Pelodiscus sinensis: one gene and its partners. Each later gene encodes a partner of the first gene's protein in a complex. Links are inferred from orthologs where the notes say so. Each region holds a gene or a part of one and is shown on either strand. Other genes may lie near its edges.

What was found.
Region 2: the proteins of GINS1 (region 1) and CDC45 are in contact, whole or in part, in a cryo-EM structure (PDB 6XTY), measured with the Homo sapiens proteins. The link is inferred for Pelodiscus sinensis from reciprocal best matches to the Homo sapiens genes GINS1 and CDC45. Residues at the interface, in NP_066545.3 of Homo sapiens: Leu146, Tyr147, Glu149, Arg151, Glu158, Thr165, Ser166, Val167, Leu168, Lys170, Lys171, Asn172, Ser173, Gln174, His175, Phe176, Leu177, Pro178, Leu195; in NP_003495.1 of Homo sapiens: Arg18, Gln37, Phe40, Gln41, His44, Val45, Gln46, Tyr47, Thr48, Leu49, Val50, Pro51, Glu64, His65, Gln68, Phe69, Thr394, Asp395, Ile398, Leu401, Asp402.
Region 3: the proteins of GINS1 (region 1) and GINS3 are in contact, whole or in part, in a cryo-EM structure (PDB 8Q6O), measured with the Xenopus laevis proteins. The link is inferred for Pelodiscus sinensis from reciprocal best matches to the Homo sapiens genes GINS1 and GINS3. Residues at the interface, in NP_001085502.1 of Xenopus laevis: Met1, Phe2, Cys3, Glu4, Ile7, Ile10, Arg11, Leu13, Gln14, Ser17, Asp18, Gly19, Gln20, Leu21, Glu49, Arg55, Asp57, Leu58, Pro60, Thr61, Lys63, Phe64, Arg65, Cys67, Cys68, Arg71, Arg74, Cys75, Val77, Ala78; in NP_001080618.1 of Xenopus laevis: Trp2, Pro4, Tyr5, Met6, Pro7, Val8, Glu16, Asn17, Phe18, Leu19, Ser20, Leu21, Glu22, Asp23, Leu24, Leu25, Ser27, Gln28, Ser37, Phe39, Pro40, Arg41, Leu42, Phe44, Leu45, Pro63, Trp65, Leu66, Gly69, Leu70.
Region 4: GINS1 (region 1) and MCM7 share a complex: the UniProt entries of both Homo sapiens proteins name them as parts of the CMG helicase complex. The link is inferred for Pelodiscus sinensis from reciprocal best matches to the Homo sapiens genes GINS1 and MCM7.

The regions. Positions count from the first base shown.
Region 1 is NC_134713.1:198,381,233-198,389,177, forward strand, and holds the start of GINS1 (DNA replication complex GINS protein PSF1), read right to left. Parts: upstream 3,016-7,945; 5' UTR 2,933-3,015; coding exon 2,858-2,932; intron 550-2,857; coding exon 485-549; intron 1-484. UniProt on the Homo sapiens protein: Required for correct functioning of the GINS complex, a complex that plays an essential role in the initiation of DNA replication, and progression of DNA replication forks.
Region 2 is NC_134725.1:17,708,533-17,716,274, reverse strand, and holds the start of CDC45 (cell division control protein 45 homolog), read right to left. Parts: upstream 3,011-7,742; 5' UTR 2,695-3,010; coding exon 2,644-2,694; intron 1-2,643. Other genes in the region: UFD1 (ubiquitin recognition factor in ER-associated degradation protein 1), read left to right, coding at 3,570-3,572, 5,223-5,355, 6,861-6,893, 7,564-7,685. UniProt on the Homo sapiens protein: Required for initiation of chromosomal DNA replication. Core component of CDC45-MCM-GINS (CMG) helicase, the molecular machine that unwinds template DNA during replication, and around which the replisome is built.
Region 3 is NC_134722.1:46,266,787-46,273,918, forward strand, and holds the start of GINS3 (DNA replication complex GINS protein PSF3), read left to right. Parts: upstream 1-4,120; 5' UTR 4,121-4,155; coding exon 4,156-4,335; intron 4,336-6,645; coding exon 6,646-6,879; intron 6,880-7,132. Other genes in the region: diacylglycerol O-acyltransferase 1, read right to left, coding at 3,749-3,827. UniProt on the Homo sapiens protein: Required for correct functioning of the GINS complex, a complex that plays an essential role in the initiation of DNA replication, and progression of DNA replication forks.
Region 4 is NC_134734.1:7,475,523-7,482,883, forward strand, and holds the start of MCM7 (DNA replication licensing factor MCM7), read right to left. Parts: upstream 3,016-7,361; 5' UTR 2,854-3,015; coding exon 2,823-2,853; intron 2,726-2,822; coding exon 2,649-2,725; intron 2,094-2,648; coding exon 1,929-2,093; intron 1,826-1,928; coding exon 1,701-1,825; intron 1,567-1,700; coding exon 1,386-1,566; intron 212-1,385; coding exon 74-211; intron 1-73. Other genes in the region: AP4M1 (AP-4 complex subunit mu-1), read left to right, coding at 3,385-3,442, 4,170-4,264, 4,434-4,540, 4,676-4,772, 4,903-5,013, 5,815-5,895, 6,020-6,082, 6,344-6,410 and 2 more. UniProt on the Homo sapiens protein: Acts as a component of the MCM2-7 complex (MCM complex) which is the replicative helicase essential for 'once per cell cycle' DNA replication initiation and elongation in eukaryotic cells.

The DNA of each region.
Region 1 (7,945 bases):
GAATGAATTTTTACATCCCCTCTTTAATTCAACTGCTTGATAAACTACTGGATGAAAAGCTCTTGTTAAAGATACAGCATTTGATCCCTTCAACTAAAGGCTGAGTTTCTAATCCACAATTCCAGATCTTCCACTGAAGCCCTTCATCAAAACAAGACAGACATCAATCACATCCTTAGTATTTCAGACTTAGATTTTTTTTCTTTAATCATCAGAAAGAAGACAACAACTTGAACAGTGCATAGTCCTGCAGCACCTTAGAGACTAATGGAAAACGTAGATGGTATCATGAGCTTTCATGGGCACAGCCCACTTCTTCAGATGAAAAACTAACACAGCTACCCGTCTGAAATCTTCATGGCCCCTCAACGCACATGAACAAAGAGAAACATCCCTGTCTTTGTCATTTCTAACGAGGCGGCTTGCTTTCCCTTTTCCCTTGTGTAGGCAGCTCGTTAGCTGTCCTGCTCCAACCAGCACTTACACGTCAGCCTGGTTCTGTTCATATAAAGCTTTCATCTCCTCCAGAACTTGTCGGATTCCATCCTCCTGCAACAGACCAAATGGCAGCAGGCACTGGGATTACTGGAGGGGAGTCACGCTGGGAACACGCAGAAGGCGGGGGGGTGGGCTCACGTTGGAAGGCCGGCGAGGGGTGGGGGGGCTCACGCTGAAGGGAGGGGGAGGGGCGGAGCAGGCTCACGCTGAAGGCTGGGGCGGAGTGGGGGCGGCGGGGCTCACGCTGAGGGGCGGGGGGAGGAGCGGAGCGGGGGGGGCTCACGCTGAAGGGCGGGGGGAGGAGCGGAGCGGGGGGGCTCACGCTGAAGGGCAGGGGAGGAGCGGAGCGGGGGGGGCTCACGCTGAAGGGCGGGGGGAGGAGCGGGGGGGGCTCACGCTGAAGGGCGGGGGGAGGGGCAGGGCGGGGGGGGCTCACGCTGAAGGGCGGGGGGAGGAGCGGGCCGGGGGGGGGCTCACGCTGAAGGGCGGGGGGAGGAGCGGGCCGGGGGGGGGGCTCACGCTGAAGGGCGGGGGGAGGAGCGGGCCGGGGGGGGGCTCACGCTGAAGGGCGGGGGGAGGAGCGGGCCGGGGGGGGGCTCACGCTGAAGGGCGGGGGGAGGAGCGGGCCGGGGGGGGGGGCTCACGCTGAGGGGCGGGGGGAGGAGCGGGCCGGGGGGGGGGCTCACGCTGAAGGGCGGGGGGAGGAGCGGGCCGGGGGGGGCTCACGCTGAAGGGCGGGGGGAGGGGCGGGCGGGCTCACGCTGAAGGGCGGGGGGAGGGGCGGGGGGGGCTCACGCTGAAGGGCGGGGGGAGGAGCGGGCCGGGGGGGCTCACGCTGAGGAGCGGGGGGAGGGGCGGGCGGGCTCACGCTGAAGGGCGGGGGGAGGGGCGGGGCGGGGGGGCTCACGCTGAAGGGCGGGGGGAGGAGCGGGCCGGGCGGGCTCACGCTGAAGGGCGGGGGGCGGGGCGGGCCGGGGGGGCTCACGCTGAGGGGCGGGGGGAGGAGCGGGCCGGGGGGGCTCACGCTGAGGGGCGGGGGGAGGAGCGGAGCGGGGGGGGCGGCTCACGCTGAGGGGCGGGGGGAGGAGCGGAGCAGGGGGGGCTCACGCTGAAGGGCGGGGGGAGGAGCGGGCCGGGGGGGGGCTCACGCTGAAGGGCGGGGGGAGGGGCGGGCCGGGGGGGGGCTCACGCTGAAGGGCGGGGGGAGGGGCGGGGCGGGGGGAGGGGCTCACGCTGAAGGGCGGGGGGAGGAGCGGGCCGGGGGGGGGGCTCACGCTGAAGGGCGGGGGGAGGAGCAGGCCGGGGGGGGCTCACGCTGAAGGGCGGGGGGAGGAGCGGGCCGGGGGGGGGGCTCACGCTGAAGGGCGGGGGGAGGAGCGGGCCGGGGGGGGGGCTCACGCTGAAGGGCGGGGGGAGGGGCGGGCGGGCTCACGCTGAGGAGCGGGGGGAGGGGCGGGGCGGGGGGGGCTCACGCTGAAAGGCGGGGGGAGGAGCGGGCCGGGGGGGGGGCTCACGCTGAAGGGCGGGGGGAGGGGCGGGCGGGCTCACGCTGAGGAGCGGGGGGAGGGGCGGGCCGGGGGGGGCTCACGCTGAAAGGCGGGGGGAGGAGCGGGCCGGGGGGGGGCTCACGCTGAAGGGCGGGGGGAGGAGCGGGCCGGGGGGGGGCTCACGCTGAAGGGCGGGGGGAGGAGCGGGCCGGGGGGGGGGCTCACGCTGAAGGGCGGGGGGAGGAGCGGGCCGGGGGGGGGGCTCACGCTGAGGGGCGGGGGGAGGAGCGGGCCGGGGGGGGGGCTCACGCTGAGGGGCGGGGGGAGGAGCGGGCCGGGGGGGGGGCTCACGCTGAAGGGCGGGGGGAGGAGCGGGCCGGGGGGGGGGCTCACGCTGAAGGGCGGGGGGAGGAGCGGGCCGGGGGGGGGGCTCACGCTGAGGGGCGGGGGGAGGAGCGGGCCGGGGGGGGGGCTCACGCTGAAGGGCGGGGGGAGGAGCGGGCCGGGGGGGGGGCTCACGCTGAAGGGCGGGGGGAGGAGCGGGGCGGGGGGGGCTCACGCTGAAGGGCGGGGGGAGGGGCAGGGCGGGGGGGCTCACGCTGAAGGGCGGGGGGAGGGGCAGGGCGGGGGGGCTCACGCTGAGGGGCGGGGGGAGGGGCGGGCGGGCTCACGCTGAAGGGCGGGGGGAGGGGCGGGGGGGCTCACGCTGAAGGGCGGGGGGAGGAGCGGGCCGGGGGGGGGCTCACGCTGAAGGGCGGGGGGAGGAGCGGGCCGGGGGGGGGGCTCACGCTGAGGAGCGGGGGGAGGGGCGGGGCGGGGGAGGGGCTCACGCTGAGGGGCGGGGGGAGGGGCGGGCCGGGGGAGGGGCTCACGCTGAAGGGCGGCAGGTGCCCGTCGGCGGCGCGGTGCAGCCCCCGCACCAGCTCCACGGCCCGTTCGCCGAACATCGGGCCTCACACCCCGGCGGGAAGCGCGCGCGCCGGCCGCTCCGCCAATGGCAGCTCGTGGCCACGCCCCCTCCCGACAGAGGCTGGCAAGGGACAAACTTCCCCCGTTCCGTAGCTCCGCCCATGCCCAGCACTGGAATCCAGCGAAGGCGGGGCTGTCCCCAAGTGACGTACAGTAGCCAGGCCCCGCCCCCTTGTGCTGTATCCCAGGCCTAGGGGCACTGGGGAGGTGGGGCAGTGTAGCCAAGGCCCAAACAAAATTATGTGGGTAACTTTTCCAAATCTCTAGTAAGACTGCTGTGTTTAAAAATTAACTGTGCTGGAAAAAAAAGGGTGATAAATAAGTCTGCAAGTCTTTAATGCAAATGCAATCACTGTTCAGATAGCGGAAGAGCTAATTGGGGTATAAAGTCTCCAGCTGTGACAAAGCTATCTGTGTTCCCAGGCAATGTGGTCTGGATGATTTGGGTGAGGTAATATCTGGAGAGAGAGCCAAGCTCCTTGCTCTCACCAACAGAAGTTTCTGTACCGGCAGTGAAAGACGTGACCTCTCCCAGCTTGCCTCTCACCAACGTGGGGGACTTTAATCACCCTGACATCTGTTGGGAAACCAATACGGCAGTACACAGGCAATCCAGGAAGTTTTTGGAGAATGTTGGGGATAACTTCTTGGTACAAGTGCTGAAGGATCCGACCAGGGGCCGTGCACAGCTTGACCTTCTCCTCACAAACAGGGAGGAACTAATAGGGGACGTAGAGGTGGGTGACAACCTGGGAAGCAGTGATCATGAGATGGTAGACTTCAGGATCCTGACCAAAGGAAGGAAAGAGAGTAGTAAAATACACACCTTGGACTTCAAAAAAGCAGATTTTGACTCCCTCAGAGATCTGATGGAAAGAATCCCCTGGGATGTTAACATGAAGGGGAAAGGAGTCCAGGACAGCTGGCAGTATTTTAAAGAAGCCTTATTGAAGGCACAGAAAGAAACCATCCCGACGCGTAGCAAGAGAGGCAAACCTGGTAGGAGACCGGATTGGCTTACAGGGGAAATCCTTGGTGTACTTAAGCACAAAAAGGAAGCTTACAGAAAGTGGAAACTTGGACAAATGACTAGGGAGGAGTTTAAATGTATAGTTCGAGAATGCCGGGGGGTTATCAGGAAGGCAAAAGCGCAAATGGAGTTGCGACTGGCTAAGGATGTGAAGGATAACAAGAAAGGTTTCTACAGGCATGTCAACAAGAAGAAGGTGATCAGAGAGGGTGTGCAGTCCCTAATGGATGAAGGAGGTAACCTAGTGACAGAGGATGTGGGGAAAGCTGAAGTACTCAATGCTTTCTTTGCCTCTGTATTCACGGACAAGGTCGGCTCCTGGACTTCTGTGCTAAGCAACGCAAGATGGGAAGAAGATGGACAGCCCTTGGTGGGTAAAGAACAGGTTAGGAACTATTTAGAAAAACTAAACGTACACAAATCCATGGGTCCGGACTTAATGCACCCAAGGGTACTGAAGGAGTTGGCAAACGTCATTGAGGAGCCTTTGGCCATTATCTTTGAAAAGTCGTGGAGATCGGGCAAAATCCCGGATGATTGGAAAAAGGCAAATGTAGTGCCCATCTTCAAAAAAGGGAAGAAGGACGATCCAGGGAACTATAGGCCGGTCAGTCTTACCTCGGTTCCTGGAAAAATTATGGAAGGGATCCTAAAGGAATCCATTTTGAGACACTTGAATGAGAGGAAAGTGATCAGGAATAGTCAGCATGGATTCACAAAGGGCAAGTCGTGCTTGACCAATCTGATTAGCTTCTATGATGAGGTAACTGGCTCAGTGGACATGGGAAAGTCAGTGGATGTTATATACCTTGACTTTAGCAAGGCTTTTGATACGGTCTCCCACAATATTCTTGCCAGCAAGTTAAGGGAATGCGGATTGGATAAATGGACGGTAAGATGGATAGAAAGATGGCTAGAAGGCCGGGCCCAGCGGGTAGTGATCAACGGTTCGATGTCAGGATGGCGGTCGGTTTCTAGTGGAGTACCCCAAGGTTCAGTTCTAGGACCGGTTTTGTTCAATATCTTTATTAATGACCTGGATGAGGGGATAGATTGCACCCTCAGCAAGTTTGCAGATGACACTAAGCTAGGGGGAGAGGTAGATACGCTTAAGGGCAGAGATAGGGTCCAGAGTGACTTAGACAAATTGGAGGATTGGGCCACTAGAAATCTCATGAGATTCAACAAAGACAAGTGTAGAGTCCTGCACTTGGGACGGAAGAATCCCAAGCATAGTTACAGGCTGGGGACCAACCTGTTAAGTAGTAGTTCTGCAGAAAAGGACCTGGGGGTTACAGTGGATGAGAAGCTCGATATGAGTCAACAGTGTGCCCTTGTAGCCAAGAAGGCTAATGGCATATTAGGCTGCATTAAGAGGAGCATTGCCAGCAGATCCAGAGATGTCATTATTCCCCTTTATTCGGCTTTGGTGAGGCCACATCTGGAGTACTGTGTCCAGTTCTGGGCCCCCCACTACAAAAAGGATGCGGACGCATTGGAGAGGGTCCAGCGGAGGGCAACCAAAATGATTAGGGGTCTGGAGCATATGACCTACGAGGAGAGGCTGAGGGACTTGGGTCTGTTTAGTCTGCAGAAGCGAAGAGTGAGGGGGGACTTGATAGCAGCCTTCAACTTCCTGAAGGGAGGTTCCAAAGAGGATGGAGAGAGGCTGTTCTCAGTAGTGACAGATGGCAGAACAAGGAGCAATGGTCTCAAGTTGTGGTGGGAGAGGTCCAGATTGGATATTAGGAAAAACTATTTTACTAGGAGGGTAGTGAAGCATTGGAATGGGTTACCTAGGGAAGTAGTGGAGTCTCCATCCCTAGAGGTGTTTAAGTCTCGGCTTGACAAAGCCCTGGCCGGGTTGATTTAGATGGGATTGGTCCTGCCTAGAGCGGAGGGCTGGACTTGACGACCTTCTGAGGTCTCTTCCAGTTCTGATTCTATGATAAGGGGATGGTTGGATGAAATAACATGATCTTGGTAACTAATTGACCATTCATTACCAGTTGGAAATAGGTCAATGGAGGGATGATAGGAGTTGCTATAGGGAACTTTCTGGGTGTCTGGCTGGTGAGTCTTGCCCCCATGCTCAGGGTTTAGCTGATCGCCATATTTGGGGTCAGGAAGGAATTTTCCTCCAGGGTAGATTGGCAGAGGCCCTGGAGGTTTTTCGCCTTCCTCTGTAGCATTGGGCACAGATCACAGCTGAAGGACTCTCTGCATGTTGGGGCCTTCAAAGTATTTGAAGGCTTCAATATCTGAGACATAGGTGAGAGGATTATTCTAAGAGGGGTGGGCGAGATTCTGTGGCCTGCACTGTGCAGGGGGTCAGACTAGATGATCATAATGGTCCCTTCTGACCTTAAAGTCTGAGTCTATGAGTCTATGAACGTGGCTACAGTGTTGAAAGATAATGGTAAGAATACAAAGTGGAAAGTGGGACTGTGCTGGGGACTAGAGGCCATAAGAGCTGCCACACTGGATCACCTTGCTCCATCTTGCCCAGTGTCCTGTCACCGACAATGGCCCACACCAAAGCTCAAGAAGGAGTGAATAGAACAAAAGCATTTCTGGAATGATTCATCTCCTCTCCCACCAAAGTAGGGTTTCCCTGAGCAACGGCGTGCTTTCTTAACATGCTGGCTAATTGCCTTTGATGGATTTATGTGCCATTAATGTATCAAGGTCTTGTTTGAACCCAGCTACGCTTCTGGCAATCGTAACATCCCACAGCCATGAGCTCCATGCTTAGTTTTGTATTGTATGAAAAAGTACTGCCTCTTGCTTGTATGAAGCCTTCTGCCCAGTCATTTCCTCAGATGACCCCTGGTTATTTGAAAGGGTAAAGGTGATGGGGTGTACGGACCCACACTAAGGGTAGGGGACTTGTGTGGGACAAGAAGGCCCTGCCCCTCCGCAGCTGCAGACCATGCTCCAAATGGAAGACTTGTGTAACGGGATTTTGAGGCAGCCAAGGGGAGGGTGAAGGAGAAGCTGTCTGTAGGAAGGCAGCCAGGCTATAGCTTCTGGAATAGCGGGATCCATAGGGGAAGGGACTGGACTGGGTAAGAGGCCAAGCATTTTGTTCCAGGCACCCCTTCTCCAGGCCCCTGTGGGCCCTGAGCCAGGAGCTGGGAGAGCAGGAGGACCTGCGTCGCCCTACCCTTTCCCCGTCTTCTGGATGACCAGGGGAGTGTGGAGAGCACCAGGGAGGAGCGATTGTAACTCAGCTAGAGGTGAAAGTAAGACAGTGCACCCCAGTGCACCGCTCTAGCAAGGAGTGACGAGACGGGGTACTTGGCTGCAGGAAGAGTGAAGGCATGCTCCCAGGGCTTCCTGCTAAGCAACAGGCAGGTTGAAGGGTCTGTCTGGGGGTGCACACCCCCGCCGGTGCAGAACTGCCCTTTTCCACTTCCACTGTATCCTTTTTGAGACTGGCAACCAGCATCGGACACCGTATTTATTGACGCACCATGGACTGATAGTGACATGGTATTTTCAGTCTTATTTTCTATCCCTTTCCTAATAGGTCCTAACGTATTATTTGCCTTCTGGACCAGTACTGTGCATTGAGTAGAAATTCGAATAGAATTATCCACAGAGACTCCAAGCTCTCTCTCTCCAGTGATGATTCCACATTAGCTGTCTCAACTGTCTATGTACACTTGGGCTGTTTTTTCTCAATGTGCATTACTTTGCATTTATGAGCATTTTGAATTTCATCTGCTATTTTGTTGCCCGGTCACTCAGTTCGGTTAGATCCTTTGTAACTTCAGAGTCAGCTTTGCATTTAACAATCTCAAATAATTATTTATTGTCTGAAATGTTTGTCACAGCGTTCAGTCTTTGCCGCCTCATTACTGACTATCTTGAACAGCACAGATCACAGTATAAATTCTTGGGAGACCCTGTAGTTCATCTCTCACCATTTATTCCTATCCCTTGTTTCCTGTCTTTG
Region 2 (7,742 bases), on another chromosome or scaffold:
CAACCCAGCAGCACCCCAGCTGCTCTGCCCCAGGCGTCCCCAAGTCAGCTTCTGCTGAAACTGACCAGCGCTGACTACAGGAAGCCCCAGGCAGAGTTGCTCTGCCCCGGGCTTCCTGGAATCAGCTGCTGATCAGTTTCAGCAGCAGCTGACTTGGGGATGCCTGGGGTTCTTAAGTTGATTCTGTATGTAAGTCAGAACTGGCGGTCAGTTTCAGCAGTGTCTGAATCTGGACGCCAGTTCTGACTTACATACAGATTCAACTTAAGAACAAACCTACAGTCCCTATCTTGTACGTAACCCGGGGACTGCCTGTATAGCGATTTTCAAAAAAAGTTATAGCAATATCATGTTTTTGCAACATGTTTTTCCAATAAAGATTTAACAAGAAGCTCTAAATAACTCATAAGAAAGTGATTTCTTCTGTGAAAAGGCATGCCAGTTTCCTAATGGGATCCTTCTGTTATCAAGCAGCAGCTTTGACATCTGATGTCTTGACCCTTTGATGAAGTTCAATAAATCTGTTCTTCCTTATCTTAAAATCTGTATTTCAAAATGTAAAGGGTAAAATGACAACATTTTCAGCATTCATATGTCTGAAATTATGTTAAGCATTTATCAAAAGCTGGCAATCGTATAACTGATGTAAATTAATTTTATTACAGGATTTTTCTTTAAAATTTTTGCAATCAAATAAGTGATCTCTCATTCTAACTTTATATAACCCTATATTCTGAAACCAAAAGAACAACTCTTGACAGTGCTTGGTATATATTAATTAGTGTCATTTGATAGTTTTTGGCCATGTCTACACAACAAAATTAGGTTACCATACAGACAATTGCAGTTTTAAAATTGCTCGTTGATGCATACACTAGGGATGTTCCTGGCCAGCCGGATAACTGTTCACTTGATAAATACTGCTTACTGGTTAACAGTCCCAGTTAACCTCAACAAATCTCACCCCACTCCATGCTCTGCCTTTAAAACTCAGACTGGCAAGCTGGCTCAGTCCCAGCCCATCAGTTCAAGTTTTATATGAAGAGCATGCAGGGGAGCTGCCCGCCACCCTGTGCTGCTGCCTCTATATCAAAGGCAGGAGCAGCCCCTTTCTACTGTGGGCCCAAGCTCCCCACAGACAGAAGCTGCTGCCATGGAAGCAGCAGTGGAGAGGCAGGCTGTATGAGAAGCCACATTGAAGGGCAGCAGGAAGTCTGTACAGGGAGCTCATTTTTAAACCAGCTCCCCTGGTGGACCAACTCCCACCAATCACACCACACTGCTGTCTCTGAAACAGACACAGCAGCATAGAGTGGCAGGTGAGAGTCGGATCATGAGAACAGCTGATTAAAAATTGGAGGCAGCAGCTGCAAGGTGGCAGGGGACTTCCCAGGAGTGGGCCAGAGTATACTGACTGCCGGCCCTGCCCCTGGGGACATCAAATAATCATGTAACGGCTAAGAATTGTTGCAGTTACACAATTAGTAAAATAAAGGATTTCTAACATCCCTAGCACACACGTAGCTCCTTGTATCAGTGGTGGGCATCATCGCCTGGAGAACTTGTATATCAATGTGGGGCATCACTGGACAGCTTCTGAAAGCCATAAGTTGCTGTATGCAATGCAGTGACACTGTGTTGATTTAATTACATCAACAGTGATGGAGATGGTAATACAAAATAAGCACAGAGAAGCATTTATATGACCAATGCTGGAAGCCAAATTTAAATAAAGACCTACAGCAAGATTGACATAAGCGGCTTATGTCAAGATAACCCTGTAATTGATTTTTACATCAAGACAGCTAGCTTGATGTAAAACTCAATATAAAATCCTAGCGGCCACAAGGCACCTAGTAGCTTTTACTTCCACATAGCTCCCTATCTGGGATTTCTCTCAACAAGCTACACCCAGGTAGATGTCACCGCTCCTTGTCCTCACCAAAATGCTCTTTGTCCATTTCACAATTCAAAACATTCCAAAACCTTGTTGCTGATTCTGAGACATTTTGCGTCTCAGCTCTGAGTGCACTCCAAAGAATCCAGGCAATAAAGCAAAGCACACTCTGAGCGGTGATGTACCCAGGTGAGGACTCCACTTGACCACTACGGGCAACCGAGCCAGAACTTGAATGCAAACCCTCCCTGCTCAGTCGAGTTCGATCTGAAACCAGCATCTGGCACCAGCAGCCGGTGGGAGAGAGAGGAGCAGGGTGCAGGGCTCTGGAGGGGGAAGAGGAGGGGAACCCAGCGCCTATCATGAGGCTGAAAGCAGGGCAATGCATAGGCCCCGGCTCGGTATGGCGGCTCCCTAAGTGACACGGTCCCGCCCTATCAGGACCCTGCGGAGCGCGGATCCAGCCCGACCCACGGGGCGTTGCGCGGAGAAAGGCGCAAGACCCTCCAGAGTCTAGCTAGGAGCCCTCCCATCGCGAGCGACCCCTCTACCCTCAAAGCACCTGCTGGCGGGGAGCGGGGAGAGAGACAGGAGCTGGAGCAGGGCGGCCCGGCGGTTGCTGGAACCCGCTACCTCACTGGGCCAGGAGTTAGTAGGCCCCGTTCAGGATGCGGGTTCGCTCCCCCTGGGCTTGTCTCCGCTCCGGTTCGGGCTTCATACTCCCCCCCGCCCCGGACGCCGCTTACCTGAGTCACTATCACCTCGTAGAACTCCTTACGGAAGTCGGAGAGGAACATTGCCGAGACCGGGCCGCTACCGCCGCGCTGCAAGGCGGGAGAGCGGCGACTGCTGGTGTTGCTCCCTCCGTTCGGATCTCCTCAGTCTCACTCAAAGCAGGCGCCAAATCGCGCCAATTCCCATTGGTCTCAGCGTCCTGGCCACGCCCCAATAACATTCCAGTACTTTGTATCTCTACAGCTCTGATTGGACTATCCATCCGATCGTCTCAGCCCTCCACCAACCACATTGCGATTGTGGCGATCGAGGAGCCGAGCGATTGGCCAATCGCCACGAAGCGCTCCTGAAACCGCCATTTTGTGTGTCCGTCTACATCGCCCATCATCGTCGCCATTGTTGACATGGGCAAGATTCCTCACCAGCCCCTCTATTAGATATAAACAAGCCATAAGCTCTAAAATATAACTGTTTCAGGAGTGAATAGGAAAAATCGTTTGTTTAACAAAAAACGATGTTGACGCCTGTGAAGCAACTTCCGCCTTTTCTCCAAGGGGCTGCACCGGAAGTCTCTTGGCTTTCTCAATAAGGGGCTATTGATAAGCCGTTGCATTCTGGGAAATGTAGTTTAGTGGGAACAGTGGACCAAACCTCCCAAATGTTTTTCGCGCCTTTGAGACCTATGAGGGCGTTCGGTTTCTGCTGATCGCGTTCACCGCTGGTAGGATAGCCCCCACGCCTGTCGAAACTGAAAGTCACTCTTAGAGCAAAGGGGCAGGGCCCAGTGATTTCCTCCTCCCTGCTTCCCTTTCCCTCAGCAGAGGATTTCCTGTGGGGGGAGGAGCAGCCGTCGCTGCATTGATCCTGCCCAGACGAGAAGGCGCTTCTCTGGGATCCCCTGCCGAGAGCTGTATAAGCAAGAAGACGGCGCGACAGGATGGTAAAAGCCTTTCCGGGGGTTTGTGGGGGTGCCTAAGAACGGGGGGCGCAGGGGGACGGGACGGAGAAAGCTGCGGAGTCATCGCGCGTGCATTGTTGTGCCCGGGCAGGGGAGGCGCTAGGGGAGCCTGTCCAGCAACAAACACGTCACTGCTCTGCGAGGGGGTCGGAGTTTGTCCCTTTGGGCCCAACGCATTGAGGGAGCCGCCTCAGGGAGCCTGTCTGGGACATAAGTAAACAACCCTCCTCTTCGCCCATCCCTCCCTCCCGGCCCCGCCGCCTTTCCTTTCACAAGTAGCCGACTGGAACAGGAGAGGTTTTTAAAGCCCTCTCTGGAAACCTCTCCAGCAAAGTCTTTGCTCCCAAGAGCAGAGGATAGCTAAGAAAGCAACCCCAATTTAGCCTGCCCACTCATTGATGGTTGCAGGGTGGCTTTTTTGTGTAGTGATATATGGAGACAAGTCTCAGAGCCATGTTTGTCTGTATCTGCAAAAACAAGAGTCCTGTGACACCTTATAGGCTAACCAGTGTGTTTGGGCATAAGCTTTTGTATGTAAAAGCCACTTAATCAGATGCATGCATCTTTGTCAGCCATCTGACAGAGTGGTTTTTATGCACAATAGCTTATGCCCAAACACATCTATTAATATATAAGGTGCCACAGCACTCCTTATTATATATGGAGTAATCTTAAAAAGTTTACAGCCGTGGTGCCCAACAAACTAGTCACTAGCCACATTTGGCTGTTTGGCCAGTTGATTGTGGCTAATTCGCTATAGCTTCAATACTGGTTGGACACCACAGATTTAGTCTGAGTCGCCTCCTTTCCCCTTAATTCTGAGTATTTCCTGAGAAATTCTGAGTATATTCCCTTTCGTTTGTTTTACTACCTTACTGTATTTCTATGCATGATTTGCTTTCAGGAATGATGAAGACCTAAGACTGTGCTTATTTTTATACTATATGCACTGTCATCTCTTTTATCATTAAAATAAAAGTGTAATTGTACAAAAATATCCTTCTGCCACACCTAAGTTGAATATCTCTTACCCTGTGCTGAAGAAGTAAATACAGTAAAACTGCAATAGTCCAGCATCCAATTGTACGGATGCCTGATAGTCTGGCATCAAAATGGCAAGAGCCTAGTGAGTGAGCTTTGGCAAAAAACGAGTCACAAGGCGGCGGCGGCAGCAGCAGCAGCAGCTGAACTGAACAAAACCGTACTGGACTGAGTCAGTCTGCCACTAGCATTGTGTGACGCTGGACAGTGCTTGTGCTATAATAAAAAGGGTTAAAAACACTTTATATACAGTATATTGTGTGTGTGTGTGTGTGTGTGTGTGTGTGTGTGTGTGTGTGTGTGTGAGAGAGAGAGAGTGATATATATATATATATATATATATATATATATATATATATATATATATATATATATATATATATAAAAACCATCTTATAGTACCTCCTGTTAGTCCAGCATATCCAATAATCCGGCACCACCTAGGTCCCAAAGGTTCCGGATGATCAGAACTCTACTGTAAATGACAATCACTTGTATTCTTCGTTGAATTTAAATAATCTCTTTTGTAAAAATCTTAAGTCTGCTGGTGTCTTTGCAAAGTGGATCAATGTCTTTTCTTTCCTCCCACAGTTTTCTTTTAATATGTTTGATCATCCAATCCCCCGAGTTTTCCAGAACCGCTTCTCAACCCAGTATCGTTGCTTCTCAGTATCTATGCTTGCAGGACCTAATGACAGATCAGATGTGGAGAAAGGCGGGAAGAGTATGTGCATGTTTTATTTTGAATAATACACTGCTGAATGTTACATATAAATATTCAGTAGTATTGTATATGGCAGGTGATTGTAGAAACAGGATGAGGCCAAAAACATAATAAAGCATGGAAACTTATTGATGGCTTTGTGATTTCAGTTAAAGGGGAACTCACAGATTAAATAATCTTTTCTTACATTAATATAGTTTAATTGATGTTGATGTTCCTGATTTATCTTTGTGTAAACTAGAAGTCACATGATTTAAAAAGAAAACAAGTGGCTTTACTTGTCATTTAATATATAAATCATTTAAAAATCTGTTGTTTTTACCATATATGTTGTTTTAACTTCCTCTTTATGTTTCACTCAGTTTGAACAAGGAGAATAGATTTGTCAGCTCTGTTTTCAGGCTCCCATATTTAAATCCAATGCTGTGTTGTTGAGTTGTCAGCATTTTGGTTGTTTAATTATAACCAAATAAAATTACTTTGGGAAAATATGCTAATGTTTTTAAAATATTAGGTTTTGTAAAACTTTCTAAATTCTCCCACTTGCCCCACTCAGAATTTATATTTTGAGTTAAAACTACTAGATGTTTTTGTCTAGACCAGGGTGGGCAATAATTTTTGGTGGGGGGCCACTCAAAGATTTTAGTAAGTGGTAAAGGGCCGCAATTTTCTGTGGAGGATCTAGGGTGAAGATTGGGTGCAGAAGGACTCATGGAATAAGGGACTGGGGTGCAGGAGATGGCATGAGGTCTTACAGGGTGTTTGGGTTGAGGAGGGAGTTGTGACTTGTGTATGGAGATTGGAGTGTAGGGTCAGGATGGGAGTGTGGGTGCAGGAGAAGATTCTGTCCTGGGGGAGGGATGTAACAGGTGGTACAGAATCTGGGAGGGAGTTGTCACCTTGGGCAGGAGGTGCAGATGATTATCTGGGGGAATGAGTTGGGGTGCTAGAGGTAGGCGCTGGACGGGAGGAGTTTACCTAATTCTCTCCTGGCCGGCAGCCCCAGCCCACTTAAAAATAAAAGCTCTTCCTCCACCGGCTCTCAAGTCCCACTGCCCCAGTCACTCAGGCCAATATCTCAGTTCCAATTGGCTTGCTGTTTCCAGCCAATTGGAGCTGGGAGATTGGCTGAGGTCAGTTCTTATTGGCTGATTGTTTCTGGCCAATAGGAGCTAAGGATTGGGCTGGGGGCAGGGAGATTGCATGAAGCCTCCCTCTCCCTGCAGAGTAGAGAAATGCAGGGACAGCTTACAAGTGCCTCAGGGTTCTGGCAGGGTGCCCCGTGGGACAGATCCTGTGGCTTGGCAGGATGGACCTAGCCCCCACGCTGTATTTTGCCCAGCCCTGGTCTAGACTGATTCTGATAGCATTTGTAGCTCAGAAATTCAGAAGCCTGGTACAATGCTGCCTGCCAAGAAGGAATGATCAAACTGTATAATTTTTTGTGGCTTTCCGTAGCCATGCTGTTCCTGTTCTTATTGTAACTTTTTTATTAATTTCTGCAGTAATTATGCCACCATCTGCTTTGGATCAACTCAGTAAGTAATTTTCATTCTATTGTAAGAACACTAGAAATTTAGTGCTGTGTGTATGTGTAGGCAAACAGCAGAAAATGCTTTATATAGTCATTAAAATGTGATTTAGAAAGATATACTGGAAAAATCCATACTTTGAGGATTTTTTTACATAGTTTCTAAAAGGGTTTTGTTTTATCTGCACATAGTTCAAATGCAAAGCAGACAGTTTTAAGCGTTCTAACAGCTGCCTGACACTAGTATCAATTCTTAAATTGATGAAATTATCATGCTTTATCAATAATTTCAAATATTTGTATGTGTTTGCCACCTTGGTTCTGTTGTCTTGGCCTCCACTGACTGAAGTGAATTCACAAAGTTTATTTTATAAGTAGAAGAATGGAGGTTCTAGACACTAAGCTGGGTTTCTTCCATTTATGCGGGTCTGCTAGAAGTCAATAGTTTTAGTATACCAAATATATCAAACAGTCTTTCCTCCTTTTACTAGCTAAGGTGTCTTCTGTCTGATCTTTATCTCCTTTAATAAGTTGTTTGTTGGAGGTGGGGTACTTGGAAAGACTCTCAATTTCTCTAGGATATTGTCTATTTATCCTGCTAATATTCAGTCTCTGCAGCCTTTATAAATCTACTATGAGTTTTATAACATATTGTATCTTTTTTACCCTTCTGCCAGGTCGACTTAACATTACATACCCAATGTTATTTAAGCTGACCAATAAAAATTCAGATCGAATGACACATTGTGGTGTGCTAGAATTTGTGGCTGATGAAGGCATTTGTTACCTTCCACATTGGGTAAGTGGTTTTACACCAAAGTGTCAGAATTTAAAGTACAGGATTAGTGGGGTGATG
Region 3 (7,132 bases), on another chromosome or scaffold:
ATATGAATATATTTGGGGCCATACTTTTTTCAAAGTCTCATGATCACTATATTCTCTATGGAATTCTTCTATTCAGGCTTTTTTTCAGGCTACTGTTTTTGGCTACATTAGTTACCACCCTTCGAATTTACTGCTGACCACACTAAAAACAGGCTGGAATTTTCAAGAATGTTGATGAGAATTAAGCTCCTGACGCCTTCTGAAATCTGCTTAGTGTTTTTCAAAATCCCACCCTTATCTTTGATCCATTCCCAGTCCATTTGCCAGTATGTCTTTGATTGAAAGGGAAACAAAGTGGGTTTCAAAAATATAATTCTGCTTAAGACATCAAAAACTGTGAGAACAACTCAAATTGCTACTTCCCACGAGTGCACTGATGCTCATATTTCTTTCAAACCTACTCAAAGCTTGGTATGAGAGACTGATAAACAAAGCTATAATTCTTGATAAAAGGAAAATAAAATCTTTAACAATGATAGAAAAGTTCTGTTATTGTACAGATTACCATTCTTAGTAACAGTGCAGGTGTTTTATTGTTATTTTATTTCTCAACATGCACAATTAAAGGCAGGGCAAACAAGGTTTAATTAAGCAAAGAAAAAATGAATTCCCCCAAAAATGTAAAACATTTTAAAAGTTCTAAACAAGACAAGGACAAAAGAAGTCAAAGTATGCTCTCAGTTATACCAATGTAAGTCTTGAGTAACTCCAGTGAAATCTGTGAGGTTACTCTGGAGTTATACTTGTGTACCCAAGATCAAAATCTGGCCCAAAGAGTTTGACTTTGTGCTAGAGCATTATCTCTGGTCTATTGAGTTGTAACACTAAAGTGAATGTGGCATTTGAATTACATTCCAATAATCTGCCTCAGCATGAAAACAATTTAACAATTAAAACTTTGGCATTAAGAGATCATTAAGATATACTTAAACCTACTTAGCATTAATTTGTCTGGATTTTCACTGTGTCCCTTATTAAGCAGAATGACCCATGTTTCCACTACAAAAAACAACCCTAACCACATAGATTCAAATTCATACTCACTGTGGTCTTTATACAATTTGTGGATAAGGCCAGATTCACCCCTTGGGCACAATGGAGTGCAATTTGCAGCTTCCCTGCTGTGCCTGTTAGAATGGCTGCACTAAAGATTCAAACTTCAAACACAGGCAATTGTGATATCACAGGTGCTCTCCACTAGGGTTCTGATAGGGAAGGATAGCTTTAAAACTCAGTCGACATAGAATGTCCAAGGCTAGTCTAGACTACATGCCTCTGACGACAGAAGCATGTAGATGAGGCCACCAGGCATAGAAAAATGAAGCGGCGATTTAAATAATCGCCGCTTCATTTAAATGTACATGGCTGCCGCGCTGAGCCGACAAACAGCTGATCAGCTGTTTGTCGGCTCGGCGCTGTAGTCTGGACGCGCGGGTGTCGACATCAAAGGCATTTGTCGACCACCCAGGTAAACCTCATCCCAGGAGGCATACCTGGGTGGTAGACAAATGCCTTTGATGTCGACACCCGTGCGTACAGACTACAGCGCCGAGCCGACAAACAGCTGATCAGCTGTTTGTCGGCTCAGCGCGGCAGCCATGTAAATTTAAATGAAGCGGCGATTATTTAAATCGCTGCTTCATTTTCCTATGCCTGGTAGCCTCATCTACATGCCTCTGTCGCCAGAGGCATGTAGTCTAGACGTAGCCCAAGAGAGGCAAGGATGGTTTGTACCCCTATGCCCCAGAAATCCAGGCTGACTTCCTGCTGTCAGCAATACACTACCAGAGTTGCATCATTGTGAACTTATTCCAGTGCCTGTAACATCCAGTCACAAAGGTTTAGCTGAAAAGATGAGCCTAAGACAATATGCTGACAAATTTGAGATCTGACACCTGTCAGGAGAAAATTCCAGACATGGGCCTTCCAACCAAGACCTGCTTTCACCGAGATCGGTTGATTTCAGCCATCACAGAGGAGATGGCCACACTCTAAAACAAACAAATACCAAATCACGTAGGCCCAGATATTCAAAGAGGCACCTCAAGTCCATGCAAGTGAAGGGTGTATCTCAATACCTTTCATATTCCAGGCCAGACAACTTTACATCAAATTAAAAAAACAACACTTTGTCTTGCACCAAGGTATTGATGGGAAGCCACTAGTTTATAGAATGCCACAAGAACATACCTGCAATCTGCCCCCGATTTAGACAGGGTAGCTTAAAGCTTCTGAATGATTTGGTTTTAGTGTTAATTTAAATTCTTGGAAGGAAATGCTGGCCTCATTACAGTCAAGGAGACTTCTGTCAGGATTCCTCCTTACATTTTTTAAATCTAAAAGGCTACGTCTAGACTGGCATGATTTTCCGCAAATGCTTTTAACGGAAAAGCTTTCAGTTAAAAGTATTTGCGGAAAAGAGCGTCTAGATTATCACGAACGCTTAAAAGTATCCGTGCCAATCTAGACGCGCTTTTGCGCAAAAAAAGCCCCGTTGGCAATTTTTGCAATCGGGGCTTTTTTGCGCAAAACAAATCTGAGCTGTCTACACTGGCCCTTTTGCGCAAAAGGACTTTTGCCCGAACGGGAGCAGCATAGTATTTCCACAAGAAGCACTGATTTCTTACATGAGATCATCAGTGTTCTTGCGGAAATTCAAGCAGCCAGTGTAGACAGCTAGCAAGTTTTTCCGCAAAAGTAGTTTGCGGAAAAACTTGCCAGCCTAGACACAGCCAAACTGTAACTTCTTTGGAAGCAGAGACCGTCTTCCTACTGAATCCGGTGCAACATGTCATTTTAAGGTCCTTTCGCCACAACTTTTGGGGCAGAGGGAGAGGGGTTGCCCAGAAGGTAGGCGTTCCCAGGCTATGTCTAACACAGCAACATTATGTCTAGACTACCTAGTTTTGTCGACAAAAGTGGACTTTTGTTGACAAAACTATACCAGCGTCTACACTACCGCTGAATTCTGTCGACATAACGTCGACAGAACTCAGCAATTTTGTCGACGCTGGTATACCTCATTTTACGAGGCATAACACCTTCTGTCGACAGAAGGTGTTATTGCCTGTAACGTTGCGTCCAGACTACGGAGTTCTGTCGACAAAGCAGCTTGCTTTGTCGACAGAACTCAATATGTCTGGACGCTCTTTGTCGACGGAAGTTTTGTCGACAGTATGTGTCGACAAAACTTCCGTCGACAAAACGCGGTAGTCTAGACGTACCCACAGTCTGCAGCGATGCAGCTGGCAGTTATTTCGACATACAGTCCAAATCATGTCGAGCTGGAGGGCCACTTGCTGCAACCCGTGACCCTCATTGTAGAAGGAGCAAGGGAAGCGGGAGGCAGAGGGCTCTGGTTTGAAATACCTGCTGTGCAGACAGCACCAACACTTGAATGAAGCTACTCAAGGGCAGTAGCTCCACTGGCGGGTTAGTTCCGAGTTAAGCCCCGCAGTGCACGGCGCGCCCGGGCAGGGCTGGTGGAGCCAAGCCGCACCACTGCGAGGGCAGGGCGGTGTCTCCCCAGGGTGTCACTGCGACTCCACCTGCCCGGGGAGGAAAGGGGCCCGGGCGTGTCCGGGGGTGCGGGCGAAGGGCGCTCGGCACTGGGGCTTGTTACCCGCGGGGGGGGGGGAGGAGGGGGGGTCTGCGGGCACGTCGTTCGTCGCTGAAAATGGGGATCCCCCCCCGCCCCCATCTCACCCGCGGCTACGCCCCTCCCACTCTACCGCCCCTCCCCCCTCACATGCTCCGCCTCCCGCCGGCCCCCGGGCCTGCGCTCCGACGACGCGCTGTCGGTTACCGGCCGCCCCCGCTGGAGTCATGAGGCAGCAGCACGCGCCCCCCCCCCCCCCCCCGCGCTCGCGCCGCCCGCCCGCAACAATCCATCGGGGGGGGGGGAGACAGCCCCCGCGTCAGGCACAAAGCGGCCCCTCCCCCACACCCCGCGGGACCGGGCACCCCTCGCGGCTATTTGCAGCGTGACTGACTGACGAGGGCGCGCGCGCTGCCCTCGATTGCTCTCGCCTGGCGCCGGCTTGCGGAGCGGGCAGAAAGCGGCGCATGCGCGCTGTCGCTCCCCAGCCTTGGCCGCTGCTTCTGCCTGACCGCGGCGGAGCGCGGGAAAGGGGGTTGGGAGGTTGCCGCCCCGCCATGTCCGAGGCCTATTTCCCCGTGGAGCCCGGGCTGGGGCCCGAGGAGAACTTCCTGTCGCTGGGAGACATCCTGATGTCCCAGGAGAAGCTGCCGGGCCGCGTGGAGGCGGCTCTGCCCCGCCTGGCCGCCGTGCTGGGAAAGGGCTCGGGGGCCGGCCAAGGCGACTGCATCCCGGAGGTAACGCGCGGCCGGAGGGCGCCGGGACTACAACCCCCGGCAGCCACCGCGCGCTGGTGGGGGCGGGGCTTGTCCCTTCCCGCTGGCCTGAGGAGCGCTCCGTTGTGTGAGTGACGGGCTCCCGGCTGGAGCGGGGCATGCTGGGAAATGCAGGCGCCAGCGCGGTGTGACCAGGGCCCAATGGGGTTCTCCCCGGGAGCGCGCGCTCGGCCTGGGCTTGCGCGAGGCTGCGGGGTGGGCCCGCTGGGCTCCAGCACGTGTACGGCCGCGGGGGGGTCTCTTCGGAACCAGGTCTCCCTAGGCAGCCGGGGACTTCGCTTGCTAACCGCCCCCGGGCTAGGGCCTGCCCGCGTGCTGCCCGCGAAGCACTGCAGCGAGGCGTCCCGCAGGTCTTTGCTGCGAGTTGTGGGCGTCGTCCAGGGACCCTGCCCTGCCGTTCATTGCACCGCCAGCAGCACCCCAGCATCGCTGGCACCTGCAGGGTGGAGGTCTGAATCCCCCCGAGGGGCAGCCAAGTTAGTCGGCAACTGGGGTGGGCAAAAGCCTCGCAGGGGCTGGATCCAGCCCCTCGCATGTTGCCTGGGAGCTGGAGACGTGGGAGCTTCTTTCAACTGCTTCTTAAAGGGCTCCTGCCTTCCCCATGTCTGTCGGGCAGCGGGTTGCCTGGCAGCCACAGGCCACAGGGCAACACAAGAGCCCTTTAAAGAGAAACAGTTAAAAGGGCTGGCAGCTCCCGGCCCCTCTAGCGCGTTGCCAGGGAGCTCAGCCCTTTCACCTGCTTCTATCTAAAGCTGTTACCTGACAGCTCCAACCAGCGGGCACAAGGCCTTGAAACCAAAGCAGTAGAAAGGGCTCATAGCTCTTGATCCCACCAGCTCCTTGCCTGTGAGCTGCCTGTGAGACAGAGTCCTTTCAACTGCATCTTTCAAAGGGCTTGCGGGTGCCAGGCAACAGGTTAGTGGGGAGGGGGGAAAGCTGTGTTATGTGAATTCTAAACCTCCACCCAGACAACTCTGGGAGAAGGCTAGCCCCTGGTACCTTTCCCTCTGCTCCAGGTCTCTTCCACCAGAAGTCTGGGGGGGACCCCAGGTCAAGTACAGCTGCCAGTTGGGTAGCTCTCAATCCCTCCCCTTCTCCGCCTGAGGCCCCACCCCTTCCAGGTCTGAAATTTGTGAAGTGGCCCCCTCTTCAAAAATTATTACTCACCCCGCTATAACTGGAAAAACTTAAAAAACGAATAGTCTTGCAGCACCTTAAAGACTAACAAAACATGTAGATGGGATCATGAGCTTTCGTGGGCACAACCCACTTCTTCAGATGAATGAATCCTGACAGTTGTAACTCTGAAGTGTTATGGTTGTCTTTTTCAACAGTTTACAACTGAACGTTGTAAACCTTGAACTTGAAACCTTATTATGCAGAAGAAAAATGCTACTTTTACCCATTTTAATTTAAATTACACAAGCACAGAAACCGTTTCCTTTGACAAATCTTTTTAAATGTTTTCATTTTAAATCTTTTTAGAAGTTTATTTTTAATAGCTTACTTTTAACACTTGATTATTTATTTATTTATTTATTTTGGCCTCTGCTGCCTGGTTGCAGTGAATGATTGATTCTAAGGATGTTAAAATGTGGTTAATTGACTAGTCAATGGAATTTCCATCGACTAGTCGATAGGCACTTCCACATTCCTCCTTTGAAATGTACAAGAGCCCCAGGAGGCTGACTCCGGACTCCACCTGGGTGCGTCTTTGAAATGTACGAGAGTCCCCAGCGGAGGCCAGAGTCGGGGGGGGGGGGGGGGGACTCCAGCAATGGAGTGATGGGGGGCTGGAGCACCAGTGCGGGATCCCCAGTGCTTGGGAGGGGGGAGGGAGCCCTGAGCCTTGGGGCCTGGATCCAGGCAAGCTGCGGGCCAGGCCTGAAGGTTCCCCACTCCTTCCTTAAATTTACTTCCTGGAGTGGTCCTGTTGGCGGAATCATATGAGCAAAGTTGCAGATATTTGAAAGTGTCTGCAGGATCCTGGGGCTCTACTTGTAAATTTCCTTACACTGTAGTATTGTTTTTATCCTTTCAGGGTTTGTTTACGCGCCGCGCGCACTCACACGCTCTCTCTCTGGTGTCTATAGGCGTTATCTTTCTCAAATAAAAATCTGATTTACATTCGTTTCCACTACTACACATTGACATCAAATCACTCTCTGGTGAATCTTCAGTGTTCATCTAAATCTCATGTTTTTTGTTATCCTGGTCAGAGTTTATTTACCTCTGTTTCTGGGGGGTGGGGTTTCTGTTGTGTGCATGCAGGGCTCAAAGGTGGAAATACCCCTATGGCTAGCAAAAGGATTGTATGACATCAAACGGAGGATCCTTTCAGTGGAACTGCCTAAGATTTACAAGGAAAGCTGGCGGACGGTGTTCAGTGCTGATGCCAATGTGGTTGACCTTCATAAAATGGGGCCATACTATTATGGTTTTGGCTCCCAGCTCTTGAATTTTGACAATCCAGAGAATCCAGAAATAGCTCAGACTATACTGCAGGCAAGTATCTGAAACCATATTTCCTTTGGTAGCTTTGGATTCCTTTTTCTTTGCTGCGCTCAGGCAAACCTTCTTCTGTTGTAACCATGGTTTTAGCTTAAATAAGGACTTCCAGGTCAGAGAACATAAGAACAGCCGTACTGGGTCAGACCAAAGGTCCATCTAGCCCAGTATCCTGTCTACCAACAGTGGCCAGCACCAGGTACCCCAGAGAGGGTGGACCGAAGACAATGATCAAGCGATTGTCTCCTGC
Region 4 (7,361 bases), on another chromosome or scaffold:
GGCTGTCATCAGGAGCACCCAGATCGGTCTTTGGGATCCCCAAACTCATCCCTCCCATTTGCCCCCCACTCACATGCTCCTGCATCTTTAGCTCCTGGAACTTGATGAACTTGGAGCCACGGCTCTGCAGATAGAGACGCCCCCCGGAGCGGTTGGTCTGGCACTCCTGGCTCGGGCACATGATCAGCGGCATGAAGGTTGGGGCCTGGATCTGCAGGGGTGGGAAGAGGGTCTGAATCAACCAGCCACCCCTCTCCACCACACCTAACCAGGGAACACAGCTGCTCCCTCGTGCCCAGCTGGGGGCATGACAAAGTAGGGACGTTCGTCATTTGCTGATCTCAATAAGTCTCAGTTTCCCCATGTTTCCTAGCTGCCCAGTAAAGGAAGGGCAACAAATGTGTTCTGAGGACCAAGTAACTGACATGGGTGCTGAAGGAGCTGGATGAAATAGACCTCAACCCACCAGGGGCCCACAAGACAAGGTGCAGTCGAGTGACTAGAGATCTCGTCACCCCTCGGCAGGGAAGCAAGCAGAGACCCCAGCTACAGAACACAGGCCAAGAAAGCGTGAGGTAGGGATCTAAAATCCCAGCTAATCGGTTAAATGGTTAAGCATTAGATTAACCTAGTTGGTTAACCACGTAAACATTAAGCGGGATCTCACCACTCCAGCCCCCACACTAGGGCTGGCTCTGCCAGGGCAGGAGGGGCATGTCCCCCCCCCCGCTCCCGACTTCCCAGGCTGTGTTGACTGCCTGGGCGCCGTAGTGAACAGGCTCCTGCAGGGCGAGACAAGACTCTCCCAGGTGTAAACCTGTTTCACTGGCTGACTGGAGCACAGGGTGGGACTAGTCTCTGGAGACATAAGTCCATGTGGCTGGCTCAAGAAACACCTAGGGGGTCTGTCACATCAATGGGGTCCCTGGCACAACAGAGGGGTATAGTCCTGTGGACTGGTGACAACAGCTCAGCCATTCATCAAATTAAATTCATAGGTAGCAGGCTTAAAACAATCCAAAGGAAATATTTCCACGCACAACACAAAGTCAACCTGTGGACCTCTTTGCCAGAGGTTATGTCCAACACTATAACACGGTTCAAACAGCTAAATAAATTCATGGAGAACAGGTCCATCGATGGCTATGAGGCAGGATGGGCAAGAATGGTGTTCCTAGCTTGTGTGCCAGAAGCTGGGAATGGATCATCACTGAATGGTTACCTGTTCTGTTCATTCCCTCTGAAGCACCCGCTTTGGCCACTGATAAAAAACAGGCTAGTGGTCTAGATGGACCTTTAGACTGACCCAGTATGGTTGGTCTTATTTTCAGCCCTGAGCTGACAGCCAGCCGGCAGGACAGCTCAGCCCAGCCCCTTCCACTCACTGGCTGGTAGGTCTCCGCTCCACACTGATCACAGCTGTAAGTAGCCACCACCATCATGGGCTTGACCTCAGTGACACGGGTGACGATGCCGCGCACGGTGACCAGTTTGCCAATGCAGTCGGCTTTCACGTCCCGGATCACGCGGGCCTTGGAGCTTGACGGTGCCTTGAAGTAGAGCTCACTGGAACAGAAGAGAAGGCCCACGAGTTAGAGCCATAGCAGGGGCCAGGGGGAGGAGAACCTGGTTGGGGGCAGGGGAGATTTAAAAGAGCCAGGAATAACAGGACCCCCACACCTCCCCTCACATGCACTCACAAGCGGCGCAGCAGCTCTGGGGGGTACTGGTTTTGGGGTCTGCGTGTCTCTGCTGTATCGTGGCCACGCTGCTCCAGCATCAGCCGGTGCTCAATGTACACGTCCAGGGCATCCTTGTGCACTACCTGGAGTGGGTAAACAGGGACTCTGTCAAGGTGCCTCAGCCACTCTCCCAAAGCTCCTTCCACCCACCAGTATCCCTCCTCCCTCACCACCCCTCTCCTTTACCTCATGCTGCCTGTGAAGGGGTAGCAGCTCGTGCACAGCGTCGGCAAAGAGGCGGGTGTAGCGCTTTGCATTCTCGCACACAGCATCCACTAACTCAGGGTCCTCCTCTGCCAGATCATCCAGCTCCACATACAGAGCCACCTGCTCCCTCTGAGCCAGGGCTACCTGCGGGGCAAGCACAGGTTGAGCAGCTGGGGGTGAGGCCCGGAGCCGCCAGAAGTGGGAAACATGGGTGCAGAGGGAAGTAGGGATGATAAATATCAGTTAATTGAATAGTTGGGTAAGCTCATGAATTCTTATCGCTTAGTCAACCATTCTCTAACCCCAGCCTCACTCCCGAGAAGCCCCCGCCACTCCACACGGCTGCTGTATCAGCGGTAGCTTTGTGGGGTGCCAGGTGGGAGCTGGTCCATAAGACGAGCCAGCGCCCCTCACGACTGGCTTCCTGTCGCTCTATGCTGCTGCCGCTGCTAAGGCAGTTGCGCCCCTGCGCAGGAGGAGGGCTGAGCGGAAGGGAGCCGGGCTGCCCGCCCACCCCGCTCCTAATACACTTCGCAGCGCCTCAGCGGGGGCAGGCCCTGGACCCAGCGCAAGCCAGGACTGAGCCGGGCCGCCCTGCTCGAAAATGCGCTGGGAGGGGAGGGGCAGCGCGCAGCCGGCGGCTGTTGCTTCTGGCGCTCGGCGCAGCGCCCCAGGGCGAGGGGGGACGTTGAGTCTCACCAGCCGGTCCCGGTAGGGGAACTCCTTGCCATGCGGGCCGGGGCGGCAGAACTGCTCCAGGAAACGCTGCACCTTCCCTGGGGGGGGGGGGGGGGGGAGAGTGTCAGTCCAGCCCTGCCCCCAGCGCGGCCCCGACCCTCCGCCCCCCCGTCCCGGCCGCGCGGCAGTAACCACCTTTCTCCGCCGCGTAGTCCTTGGGCGCCATGGCGGGGACGGGGCCTACGGGTCGCCGCCGGAGTCAGCGCAGGCCGCTCCCGACCGACCCCTCCTCAGGTTCCTCCCGGCTGTCGCCACAAGCAAAAGTGGCGCGAAACCAGAACCATACCACGTGTCTGGCCCCGGCCAATCAGGACCTGGTCCCACCCCGGGGCCACGTGATCCGCCCAGCCCGCAAATCGGCGCTCGGGCCGAGCTGAGCCTGTAAGCCCCGCCCTCACGGCTCCATCACGTGACAGCAAAGTCCCCTCGCAACAGCCGGGTTCGAGCAGAGCCGGTGAGATTCCCCCAGGCCCCGCCTCCTCTTAAGGGAGCCGCGAAGTCGGGGAGAAGAGGGAGGTAATGGGCGGGGGGCGCAGGGTGAGCCGGTAGCAGGGGCTGGGATTCGAAATGAGAGCGGGGTTTCCTGGCAGGGGCGGAGGGTGTCGGGCAGGGGACGGGGTTTCCGGGAGGGGGCGGGGCCAGGTTTCAGGGCAGGGCCCCACTCACGCTCTCTTTCCCCCCACCCCAGGCCTCCGAGATGCTGTCTCAGATTTTCATTCTCTCCTCCAAGGGAGACAGACTCGTCTACAAGGACCGTATCCTACCCTGCCCTGCGGGCTCCCCAAACACCGTCCTAGCACCCCGGACTCCTCCACGTCCCCCAGCTCCCCAAATGAGGGATGTTAGCATACAGTTGTGTAAGCGATTAACCGATAAGCCTGGCTTTATCGGTAAGTCCTAACAACTACACACCCTCCCCCCGCTTGCCCTCTTTCGATCTGGATCCCATAGAACCCCCCGCCCCACACCCCAAGGTGAAGCGAGAGCCGATATGCACAGGGGGCTGCCTTTTAAGCTCCCTGCATGTGCTGGCTTCGTGGAGCTGCCTTGCCCTCTTGCTGCCTCCCACAAACACAGAGGCAGCAGCATGGAGTGGCAGGGAGCTCCCTGGGAGTGGGACCAGAAGCACACTGGCTGCACTCCAGGGACTATCGAATAATTGTGTAACCACCAAGATTTGGTGTGGTTACATGGTTATTAAACATCTAACATCCCTACACCAAATCCTCCTGCCTCTAGTGCTCTGGACCCCTCCAAGGCCATCTCCCCAAATACCCTGATATAGCCCCCTAGACCTCCCCCTTCCAAATGCCCCCTTGCATAGCTCCTCAAGTGTCCCATGCAGATCATCTTGGCCCCCGGGGGAACCCCAACTGGGCACCACCTCCACATCTGGCTTTCTAACTGGGCACTACGGGGGGAGAGGGGGAGCTCTCAACCATACTGCCCAGATGGGATGATTTCTCTTTAACCCCCTCCCAGTGCGTGGTGAGGCAGCAGGGAGCAGCATGGACCTGACGGACACTTTCTATAGGAAGATCACAGCCCTGCCTAGGGACCAGGCACCTGTCTTTATGGTAAAGGGGTGGGTTCCACAGCTCTGCAGTAATGTGGGGGCATCACTATAGGGATGAAGCATCTCTACGATAACAGAAGTGGAGAGCATCTGGGCAAGTATGTGGGAGAGAGGGGTACCCCCTGGTGAGGGAGAGGGTCCATATAACTCTGCTTGTGTTTCCGCTACAGGTGCATGAGGGGCTGCACTTCGTCCACGTGCGTCACGCCGGCCTCTACTTCGTGGCTACGACAGGGCACAATATCTCCCCTTTCACCATCATTGAGTTTCTCAACCGGTGAGAGGGGCAGGTGTAACCCCAGGGCACAGGGGGTAGACAGGGATATGGTGGAGCTCAGAGGATGGGGACACACAGCGGGAGGGGATGCACTGAGCCAACCCTGCCCTCACCTGTCTCTCTCCTTTCCCACAGGCTGGTGACGCTGATCCATGATTATTGTGGTGCTCTCAGTGAGAAAACCATTAGCCTCAACTTCGCCCTCATCTATGAGATGTTGGACGAAATGCTGGTAGGCAAGCACTGCTGAGGAGCACCTTACCTGGGGCACTGCTGCAGGGAAGCTTGCAGCTCTAATCTCCTGTGCCAGTGGCAGGGGCACAGGTGGGCTCTCCCCCTCACTCTGTACTCTCCCCCCATAGGACTATGGCTATGTCCAGACCACAGCACCTGATGTATTGCGCAACTTCATCCAGATGGAGCCAGTGCTCAGCAAGGCCTTCAGCCTGCTGGACCTGGGCAGTGTTGGCCTGGTGAGTCCAGTTTTCCCCCCCCTCCCACTGTCGGCCTGGTGAGTCCAGTTCCCCCCCAGTGTCCAGGCAACATCTGACCTGTGAGCCCCTTAAAAACACCATGCTCGCCCAGTGAACGTCCCCAAATCCCCTGCTCCCCCAGTGCTGCCTGGGCAGTGTTGGCTTAGCGAATCTAGCCCCTGAACCATCCCATGTCTCCTTCCCACCAGCACTCTTTGGGCAGTGTCAACTTGGTGAGCTCCGTCACCAAATCTCCCAGTGTCCTGTGGGCAGCTTTTCCTGGATCTGGGCCCCTGGGTAGCATCAGCCTGGTGAACTTGGCCCCCCAGATTTCCCCCCACCCCCATGTTTCCTCCCCTTCAGCACCTTCCCAGGCAGCATCAGCCTAGAGAACTCCCCCAAATCCCACCCGTGTCCCCACCTCCCACTGTGCCCTCCCAGGCAGCAACAGCCTGGTGAGTCCCAAATCCCCACTGCATCCCCTGGGCAATGTCGCCCTGATAAACCCAGCCCCAAATCCCCCCAGCCCCCACCCCCGGTCAATGGCCTGATGATGCCACTCTAAGCTCCGATCTCCTCTCTCCCAGCACCCCTGAATAGCAGCAGCCTCACGAGCCCTCCAAATTCCTCCCCGCCCCCCCATATTCCCTCAGCCCCCTTAGCCATCGGCTCCTCTGGGGAAAATGTTACCCTGAGAGAGATCCGGTCATGGGGTACCTAGTATCCCCAACCCCAACCCCTGGGAGCCCATCAAGGCACCATCCCTGGGCCCTACTCCGACCTTCTCCCCTTTGGTTTCAGTTTGGTGCGGAGACACAGCAAAGTAAAGTGGCTCCGAGCTCAGCCACCAGCCGCCCTGTTCTGCCCCCCCATGGGGACCAGGTGAGACACCCCCAGCAGTATGTTGTCCCCCCCCTTCCTGCTCTAGCATGGAGCGGGCCCCTCTGTCTGGGATGGAGAGGGCCTGCTGGCAGCAGTCACATGAGCACTGGCTATCTCCCTGCAGGGTGCGAGGAACGAGGTGTTTTTGGACATAGTGGAGAGGCTGACAGTCGTCATTGCTGCCAATGTGAGTCAGAGAGGGGAAGGTGTGAGCCGGGGGTTTTGCATCCTGACACACAGCCCCTCCATCAATTTACAGGGTCAGAGCAAAGGCTGAGCTTCTAACCAGGCCCAGGGCGGGGATCCCTTCAACCCCCTAAGGCACAAAATTTAGCCCCACAGCTTCCCCACCACAGAGCCTGAGCAGCCCTCCCATCGTGCACCGCCTCCCAAGGGAACCTGCTCCGACCCGTGTCATTGTCTGGGCCTCACCCCATGTTCTCCCCAGGGTACCCCCATGAAGGTCGACATCCAGGGAGAAATCCGCCTCAAGAGCTATTTGCCTAGCTGTCCCGGTGAGTAATGGCTGCAGCCCCACAGCCTGAAGCAGCTCACGTGGGCCAGACCCTGGTGTTTCATTGCTGAGTAGATATACCCATTGTGAGCGGGAGAAAGCAGGGCTGGGGGCAACGGCGACTGGCCCCGGCCTGGGCAGCTCTCCCCTGGCTGAGTCCCTTAATACTCTCTCCCCTCCCTGTAGAGATGCGCATTGGGCTGACAGAAGAGTTCTGTGTGGGGAAGTCGGAGTTGCGAGGTGAGTAGCCACTGCCAGTCTCTATTCCGCCTCACAGGGCCCCCTCATTCTGACTCCCCGACCTTTGCTCACTGCAGGCTACGGCACCGCTGTTCGCGTGGACGAATGCGCCTTCCACAGCTCCGTTAAGCTTGATGAGTTTGAGAGTGCCCGTGTCCTAAAGGTCAACCCCAGCCAAGGGGAGGTGAGCCCTGTGCATAGCAGCTGGGCCTCTGCTCCTGGTGCAAGACCATGGGACGCCCAGTCTGGCCCCATCCATCTGTGCCTTCAGCTCCACCAACCTGACCACATCGAACACGAGCTGGCCGAGTACACGACCTGCACTCTGCAATTTCAAAAGCCTCAGCCCTCTAGCCAAGTCTCACACGCTGTGTATGAATCAACAAACCCCTTCTGGGATACACATCTACCGGGGCCCAACTCTGTGCCCTCCGTGGAGCTCCTCTGAGTCTATTCCCCACTCAGAGAGAAGGGTGCCCCCAGGGGTTTCCTTCCTGGAGGCAGCATCTCTGCCCTTCCCTCATGGCTTTATCTCAGAGTCCTCAGTAGTTCTCCACACGGAGCTGTCCGCAGTGCTGCTGCTCTTTCAGCCAGCCAATCTCCCCGTCGGCATACCTTGAAGGCTCCAGAAACATGAACTGCTGCCTGGCTTCTTGCCTTTTGGTTCTGCCATACGTTGCCCCAAAAGGCCTCCAGGAGGGGACCTTGGGGC